Astyanax mexicanus: one gene and its partner. The protein of the gene in region 1 binds, or shares a complex with, the protein of each later gene. Links are inferred from orthologs where the notes say so. Each region holds a gene or a part of one and is shown on either strand. Other genes may lie near its edges.

The links.
Region 2: the proteins of sodium/hydrogen exchanger 3 (region 1) and chp1 are in contact, whole or in part, in a cryo-EM structure (PDB 7X2U), measured with the Homo sapiens proteins. The link is inferred for Astyanax mexicanus from reciprocal best matches to the Homo sapiens genes SLC9A3 and CHP1. Residues at the interface, in NP_004165.2 of Homo sapiens: Tyr396, Arg397, Met398, Gln400, Glu402, Arg474, Leu475, Asn476, Glu477, Leu479, His480, Gly481, Arg482, Ala483, Phe484, Asp485, His486, Ile487, Leu488, Ser489, Ala490, Ile491, Glu492, Asp493, Ile494, Ser495, Gly496, Gln497, Asn501, Arg504; in NP_009167.1 of Homo sapiens: Arg30, Leu31, Arg34, Leu38, Lys40, Glu49, Phe51, Gln52, Arg53, Ile54, Glu56, Leu57, Ala58, Ile59, Asn60, Pro61, Leu62, Asp64, Ile66, Phe70, Phe83, Leu87, Phe90, Leu115, Phe117, Ala118, Leu121, Tyr122, Leu135, Leu139.

What each region holds. Positions count from the first base shown.
Region 1 is NC_064410.1:30,485,583-30,489,508, reverse strand, and holds the start of sodium/hydrogen exchanger 3, read left to right. Parts: upstream 1-1,777; 5' UTR 1,778-1,987; coding exon 1,988-2,222; intron 2,223-3,926. UniProt on the Homo sapiens protein: Plasma membrane Na(+)/H(+) antiporter. Exchanges intracellular H(+) ions for extracellular Na(+) in 1:1 stoichiometry, playing a key role in salt and fluid absorption and pH homeostasis.
Region 2 is NC_064414.1:59,000-62,925, forward strand, and holds the start of chp1 (calcineurin B homologous protein 1), read left to right. Parts: upstream 1-1,698; 5' UTR 1,699-2,013; coding exon 2,014-2,080; intron 2,081-3,926. UniProt on the Homo sapiens protein: Calcium-binding protein involved in different processes such as regulation of vesicular trafficking, plasma membrane Na(+)/H(+) exchanger and gene transcription. Involved in the constitutive exocytic membrane traffic.

The DNA of each region.
Region 1 (3,926 bases):
TAAAGAAAATTAAATTAGAAAATAGACAACATTAAATATTAGAGGGTATGGATAACATATATAGGCACTGTATTGATAGTAATGAAGCAATGACCATTAAATTATAGAATTTCTTTAGAGGCCATTTTATATTTTATATTTTTCTCAATCACAACCCCGATTCCAAAAAGTTGGGACACTGTGCAAAATGTAAATAAAAACACAATGCAATTACTTAATATAAATAAAAAAAATAAATCTTATAGACTGACATTTTATTCACAATAGAGCATTCAACACATCAGTCAGTGAAAGTAAGACATTCTACCAAAACATGAATTCATTTAGAAGCTGAAGGCAGCCACAAATTTGGGGGCAGGCTTGTGTCTCTGAGTGCGAAATTTTATCCCATTCTTGTGTGTTATAGCATTCCAACTGCTTAACAGTCCTGGGTCCTCTTTGGTGGATTTTTTGTTGCCTTTTTGTGAAAGGTCTGGATTGCAGGAAGGCTAGTTCAATACCCAGGATTTTTTCTGTGAAAGTACACTGTTGTGATGAATGTGGATTAGCATTGTCTTGCTGAAATATGAAAGGCCTTTTCTGAAACAGACATTGTGTGGATGAGAGCATATATTGTTCTTAAACTTCTGCATATTGTTTACCTTTTTTATTTGTGGAAGCTGCCAATGCCTTAGGCAATCCAATACCATCAGAGACACAGGTATATAAACTGTGCACTGATACCAGCCTGAATAGTCCCTCTTTTCTTGAGTATGCAGGACATAATGTCAGTGGTTTTCAAAAAGAACTTCATATTTTGATTAATCTGACCAAAGAACATGGTGTTTAAATTATGCTTTGTATCTGGATTGTGATGACATATTGCTTATTCTTTGTATTTCTGGGTTACATGGAGTTCACAGACAATGATTTCATCATTTTCTCGTTAATTTTATTTTAGAATCTACTAAAAAATGGTGTACTGTACCCTTTTTAATGATTAATTGTAGATATAAAAAAAATATGCTGCAACTTGATGGGCATTTTCCTAGTAAAGTTATGTAAAACTGAATTTATACATTAAAATATATAAAAAAGTGTTCTTTATAGTATTTCAGGATTGTACTTATTTCCCCCTAAGAAATATACAATAAAAATGCATATTCCATGTGTCTATGAGTGCCAGAATATTTGCATATGATAGTATTTTACATAGGCTACACTCTGTATTCTTCATTCCTTCCTTTAACAGTAATTGCAGGTTTTCCTCTCTTCAGACTAATTCAACCTGTGCAGTGTCTGAGGTTAAGCGTGATCGTGCACTTTTCATCCAGACCAGGCTGTAATGCAGTTTATATGATATAAAATCAATATAAAATGTGTTTAATGTACTACTGTTTATTACAGAATCTGGTCTGGCTCATATACAACAGTGTATGGTGTTAAAAATCCCTTTCTGTATTGTAATTTAAAGAGAAAACTGTACAATCTTAATGTAGCTATACTGCACAATATTGATTAAGATAAAGATATATTAAAATAACTTAAAAACCTTTGAACTAAACTATCTTAAATATATATTCTCTCTATACAGCCACTGGTCTAAGTTCAGTTCATGCCGGAGTTGAGTTAATGCTTCTCTAGCTGCACCTGCAGAGCCACAGGTGAGCATGAAAAGGGCGGTGCCTTCAGGTAAGTCCTATCCTCACCTGAGCCGCTATTGGGCACAAGGAGGAGCAATGCCTAAAGGAGGGACAGCCATAGATGCTATATACATGCCACATTCTGGCTGAAACTTTAAGTGATTACAGAAGAAAAGTGGGTAGAAGTATGAAGAAATCATCTGACATGGCAGAAAATTGGCAGATAGTTTGACAAAGTAAAGAATTACAAGGTCAGAAAGGACAATTAAATGCTGGTGGTTTCTGGCAGCAAGTGACAGCTAGAGAAAGAAAGGATCGAAGCTAAAAGAGACTTTATTTAACTTTATTTGAAAAATCTTCGCAACATGGTACTTTTACCACGGCTCAGCCTGCTCCTCACGATCCTGTCGGTCTTCGGCACGCTGTGTCGTGCCAACAGCAGTGGTTCAAGCTCATCAACGGCCACAGAGTCTGAAACGGCCACTACCAACACTTCTACTACCCTCACAACTCTACCCATCGTCACTTGGAAATGGCACCACATAGAAACTCCTTATTTGGTGGCCCTGTGGGTTCTGGTCTGCTGGCTTTGTAAACTAGGTAAGCATCATCTGGAATCTTTCCTTGACTTCTGAAGAGTTTTGCATCACTGATGGATCATCACTGTATTGTGATGATACAGAGTCTAATTTGATGTGCCTGAACAGGTGCTATGTCTATGACTGAATTTTAGAGTGCGTGTGATTTAAATGAATAATTTTTACTAACATAGACTAAACATTGCTTTAACTGACACTGGATAGACTATTTTGTTACACACTTGTAGAAGTAACCAAAAGACATACAAACATAACAAGGGTTATTTAATTTCTCAAAATGTTCATTGTGATTGCAGTTATTTACATTTTGTCATTGCTATTGATCTATACACTATGCTTTTTTGTTAATTAAATGTTTCTACTTATAAAATGATAGTATGTTTGAAAGAGAATATCTGAAATGTGCCTGGTAAAGTGAACGTAGTGCAACTTTAAAACTTTAAAATCTTTTAAAATCTATTGACTGACAGCTGTTCCAGACATACACTTGTTATAAATTCAGAATATCTTAGGGCAGATAGTTGTTTAGGTATTTGATGTAATCATAGAATAATAATCTGTATAATCCATATTTAAAATGTAACAAAAGTCTAGGTTACAGACGATAAATACATTTTCTGTTCTTCTTAGTACGGTGATTTTACAGCAAGAGTTATATATAAAGGATAATAATGCAGTACTTATGGTGTATGTGGAGGTTCCATTCATTAACATGAAACATGAAGATTCTTCACACTCACACAAAATAACTTCTATATCATCTAAACTAGACTTTTCTTAAATAATAATGCACTGGAATGTTCTGTTGGTAACCTAAACGATTTCCCAATGGCATCAATCCAATGATGATAATGGAAGAAAACCAAGGGCAGTTCTCCGAACATGGATTAATTCCAGTTGTAGACAGCATTTTTCTTTTAATGGAAAATAAATTAATGGAAGTCTAAACTAAATCCCTGACTGGGAAATTTTATTATGTTGGACTATGTTATGTGATGCAATGAAATGTAAATCTATTATTTAGATGCATTATTGTATATTACTGACTAAATTAGAGAAGGACTAAAATGATTTCAAGGAATGAAACCAACTCACCTCCCCGTGCACTGTGTATAATGAGTCCTCAAGGGTGTCTGCAAAAGCAGTGGCCCATTTACAGTTTGCCCACAATGAAACTAGTAATGATATGTGTTTGTTTTGTGTAAAGATCTATTATTACTATTATGATGATGATGATGATGATGTAAAGTAGTATTGATTGTAACAGGCTCTTTCAACCTGAACTGAGTCACACTGTGAGTAGTTTTCCATAAAGTGTTCTATATTGTATTGTAGTAGAATCAGATTTCAAGAACTATTAGAACTTGAATTACAGGTCATAGCAAAGGACGTACGTGAGTGAGTGAATGTGTGTGTGTCCCTAAATAAAGGGAGGGAGGTAGGACTCTTTGAAGGGTCATGTAGAAAGGGCAGTGTGAAGTTATAGAATGCTTGTTTAACCTGCTAATTAATGTTCCATTGAATGGTAGACAGTAATTCAGCTTATGAACCATTTTCTTATTTTGGCTATGTCTGCCACCTAGAGGTCACATTGATGCAGTGCAACATTCTTTGCAATACATTCTGTACAGACAGATTTTTTATAAATCTTTCGAAACAGGTCATAGGTTGTTATAAACTGATTATTTACACTTTTACACTTCAA
Region 2 (3,926 bases), on another chromosome or scaffold:
GTATCATTCGTTCATTTGATATTCAATTGAGAATCAAAATCGGAAAATTAAAAAACCAATTCGTTTTTTCGTTTTTTCGTTTTTGAATATAATACCAAAAAACGAATAACGGCTTGTATTTTGTATTTTTATTTGGTTATCCAAACAAAAATTGGAAATTTAAAAAACGGACCAGGAGCCGAATTTGATTTTGATTTTGAACTTGACCCATTTGTGTGCCCTGGAAGTTACTGATTTGTTTATTCTTGGTGGGTTTCTGTTGCGCGGGAGTTCACTGCAGTGTTATCTACACAGTCTGTATTGCTGTAGGCAGCATGGCCGGACTGGAACCACATTCTGGCCTAATTAAAGATCTTTTTGAAGGTATTAACTAAATATGACATTTAGCTACGGAACGTTAGACAAACACCTGAAAGATCCTGCCGATTTTTTCTGTTGTCATATCGTCTTCTTTCACTGCAACGCGTTTAGTTCCTCTGAACAAGATAAAACTCTCCATCCTCAACTCCATCCAAAGCCTACAGCAATACAGACTGTGTAGATAACACTGCAGTGAACTCCCGCGCAACAGAAACCCACCAAGAATAAACAAATCAGTAACTTCCGGGGCACACAAATGGGTCAAGTTCAAAATCAAAATCAAATTCGGCTCCTGGTCCGTTTTTTAAATTTCCAATTTTTGTTTGGATAACCAAATAAAAATACAAAATACAAGCCGTTATTCGTTTTTTGGTATTATATTCAAAAACGAAAAAACGAAAAAACGAATTGGTTTTTTAATTTTCCGATTTTGATTCTCAATTGAATATCAAATGAACGAATGATACACGGATTGATGCGGTCTCCTTTCAGAGCGGATGAATCCGAATCCAGGTTATGTTCAGTCAGAGAGAGAGAGTTTGCTCAGTCAGAAACTTAATTAAGTTAAGGGAATTGTCTTCAAAGGATATAAGAGAGTTATTATATACGGCTGTCAGTTTTGTGAGTGTAAAGTAAAGACGCCTGACGAGGCCAGAAGAATCCAGCGAAAAGTGATCTGACACCGCAGTTTTAGAATTAACATATTAGGCTTAGCAGGGATGGTCGATGCAGCACACTGGTTCCATCAAACACAATATTTTTTTTCCATTTTCCACTCAGAAATGCTTCTGATTTTAGCTTAAAAAACAAAATAATAGACTGTCTCTTAAAAGAATACCATGTAGTAAATATGTTATAATTTGCTAAATAAAAAAATGCTATTTCAATAATAAGCATTTTAGTAACAAGGGAATAAGCTATATACATATATTTTTACATAATAAATGTTAAAATGTTGGGGTTGGAAGGAAAAAAATCGTTTTAGGGGAAACGTTTTATTAATGCTATAAAACTGACTTTATTTTAATAAACACATATTAGTTATTATGAACAAATAAAAAAAACATGCAAGACTAAAACAAATTCTCTTCTTTACATTTGTTTGTTAAACAAATCCATCATAGTTTTTGTTTTAGAAATGTGGTATTTTTTATTGGTTGTACAATTTTTTTAAAGCTTTTCATGACATTATACTTCAGCCAAAAAACACAGAATTTGTGCATTCAATGGTGAATTCTTTAAGAATCCTGTGGGGGCTAAAATATAATTTAATAGGACGGCAGTGACGCAGATGGGGCGTTGACGGGCCACGCCCACGGGGTGTCGACGTTAGCTGACGTCGCGCAGAGTTTAAGGTCCAGAGTGTTCACCGCAGCTCCAGCGCTCCTGGTTTTCAGAGTGTCTGTATTAGATCAGCGGTACAGGCAGTGTACTGGAGTTACTGAGGTTATAGAAAGCTGCAGCGGTGTGTGAGGGCCGCGCTGAGGGTAAACACGCTGCGGAAATCGGCTGGCTGTGGTAGTTAGCTCGCAGGCTAAGCGCTAAGCAGGCTAAGCCTCTGTCTGAGTGACCGTTAGCTTACTCGGCTAGCGAGCAGCAGCGGAGCCGGAGCGGAGCGGGGGTTTCAGCTGAACTGACCGCGGGCGGAGAACCATGGGCTCCAGAGCGTCTTCATTACTGAGAGAGGAGGATATAGAGGAGATTAAGAAGGAGACTGGCTGTGAGTATTTATTTAAACGTTGTTAGAACTGAGACTGTTACTTATGTTACTTCGGTTAGCATGTTAGTTAGCCAACTGTACCCTGAGGGGACTCAGTAAAGTAGTGTAGAGTCATTGTCCACTAGTTAGAAGTTCTAATAATATCTGTGATAAAATAATAATTTTAATAATAATTAATCTAAAGGAACATAAAAAACTAAGATACATTTTGTAACTAAGAGAATGATTTATTGAACTGGGGGAACAAATTATAAAGCCGCAAACAGCGATTCCAAGTTGGATTATACCATCAAATTTGTGTTATAAGATACAAAAATGGACAAATGTGAAAATCGAGATAAGATTTAACCTTTTTCATTTTTCTTAAAAAAGGGCAGAAAAGGAAAAACTAAATAATTAAAAAAATTTCTGCCTTACTAAATGGAAAAAATAATAAGTTTTATACCAATTTTCTATTTTCGAATTTAGATATGGTCAGAAAATTAAAGTGCTAAACGTTACACTGACCCAGATGTGTAATAAGTGTAATAAATCTGAGGTAGCAAAAGACCTGGTCATTAAACTATGATTTATTGAATTGAGGGAATGATTTATAATAATAGTAAATAATAGTTATTTATATTAAAAAATAAAAGTTATGCAGCAACTCCGTGGTCCAAGCACGAATGAGCCCGATGAGGCCCAATACTTCAGTGTGTGACCATTCCTGAGACAGCAGCCACATTTTGTGTAGTTTGTGCTTTGTGTTGATGTTTTTTTTTTTTAAACATTTACGGAGATGGAGGGAAGGATGGGGTCACTGATGATTAGGGCACATATTCTTTTCAGAAAGCAAAATATGAAATAAAAGAAAATTATACTTTACGAGCTTTGTACAAAAAACTTTACTGGAGTGTGGTGTTTACCTGCAGTTTTGCAGTTATACAGTAGAATATCACAGATGCTGGAGCTATGTTGCTCTTTTTGATCTCATATTTCTGAACTGTCCTTGTTTCTTGCTGTTTTCCTCAAAAATATTAACCAAGCTGAATGTGGCGTAACACAGCTTCTCTGTTAAACAGTAGCCTTCACACACTGCTTGCATGTCTGTGGTTTTGTTGCACCACTTCTTAGTGTCCAATGCAGTGTGTTTGTCAGCTGTTCTTCCCCTAATTGTCACCTTTTAATGGAAGCTCTGACATAACATAGTTCGTACTGTTTGAGGGGAAAAATGCAGATAATGTGCTGGTGTCATTTTATGACTCATGCCAGGCAACAAAAGGTTTCAGTTGTTATTTTGTCCCTTTTTTCCAGAAAACACATAATTAGTGAACGTAACAGTTCATGGCAGTTGTTGTGTTTTACCCTTTTAAAGTTCTCTAATGAGAACAAGACAGGACATGTTGCAGGGCAGCCCAATACACTCTTCTTCTGCAGACATGGCTTTTTAATGTTTGCATCATGTGGTTTTGCATTGTCAAATGCAAGGACCTCCTTGAAAAAGAAGTTATCTTGAAGGCAGCATATGTTGCTCTAAGAAACGCTCTGGTGCCATGACAGACCCTGACTTTAAAAGGTCTGAAATAATGACCACAAATACTCATTTCCACTGTGCGATGGTCCTTCTCAGATGCCTTCAAGCCCAGAAGCCGATGCTACTTCTGAACACGGTTCATACAAGGCTTCTGTTTTGCACAGTAAAGTTGTAAGTGGTATTTGTAAATGCAACTGTTAAATTAACCCCTTGTCGATGGGGTTCTATCAGCTATTGTTGAATGACTGTTCTTGATGCAGTGTCTTCTGAGGGGTTGAAGATCACGGGTATTCTAGACTTGCTTCTTTGCCTTTTACACACTAAGATTCCACC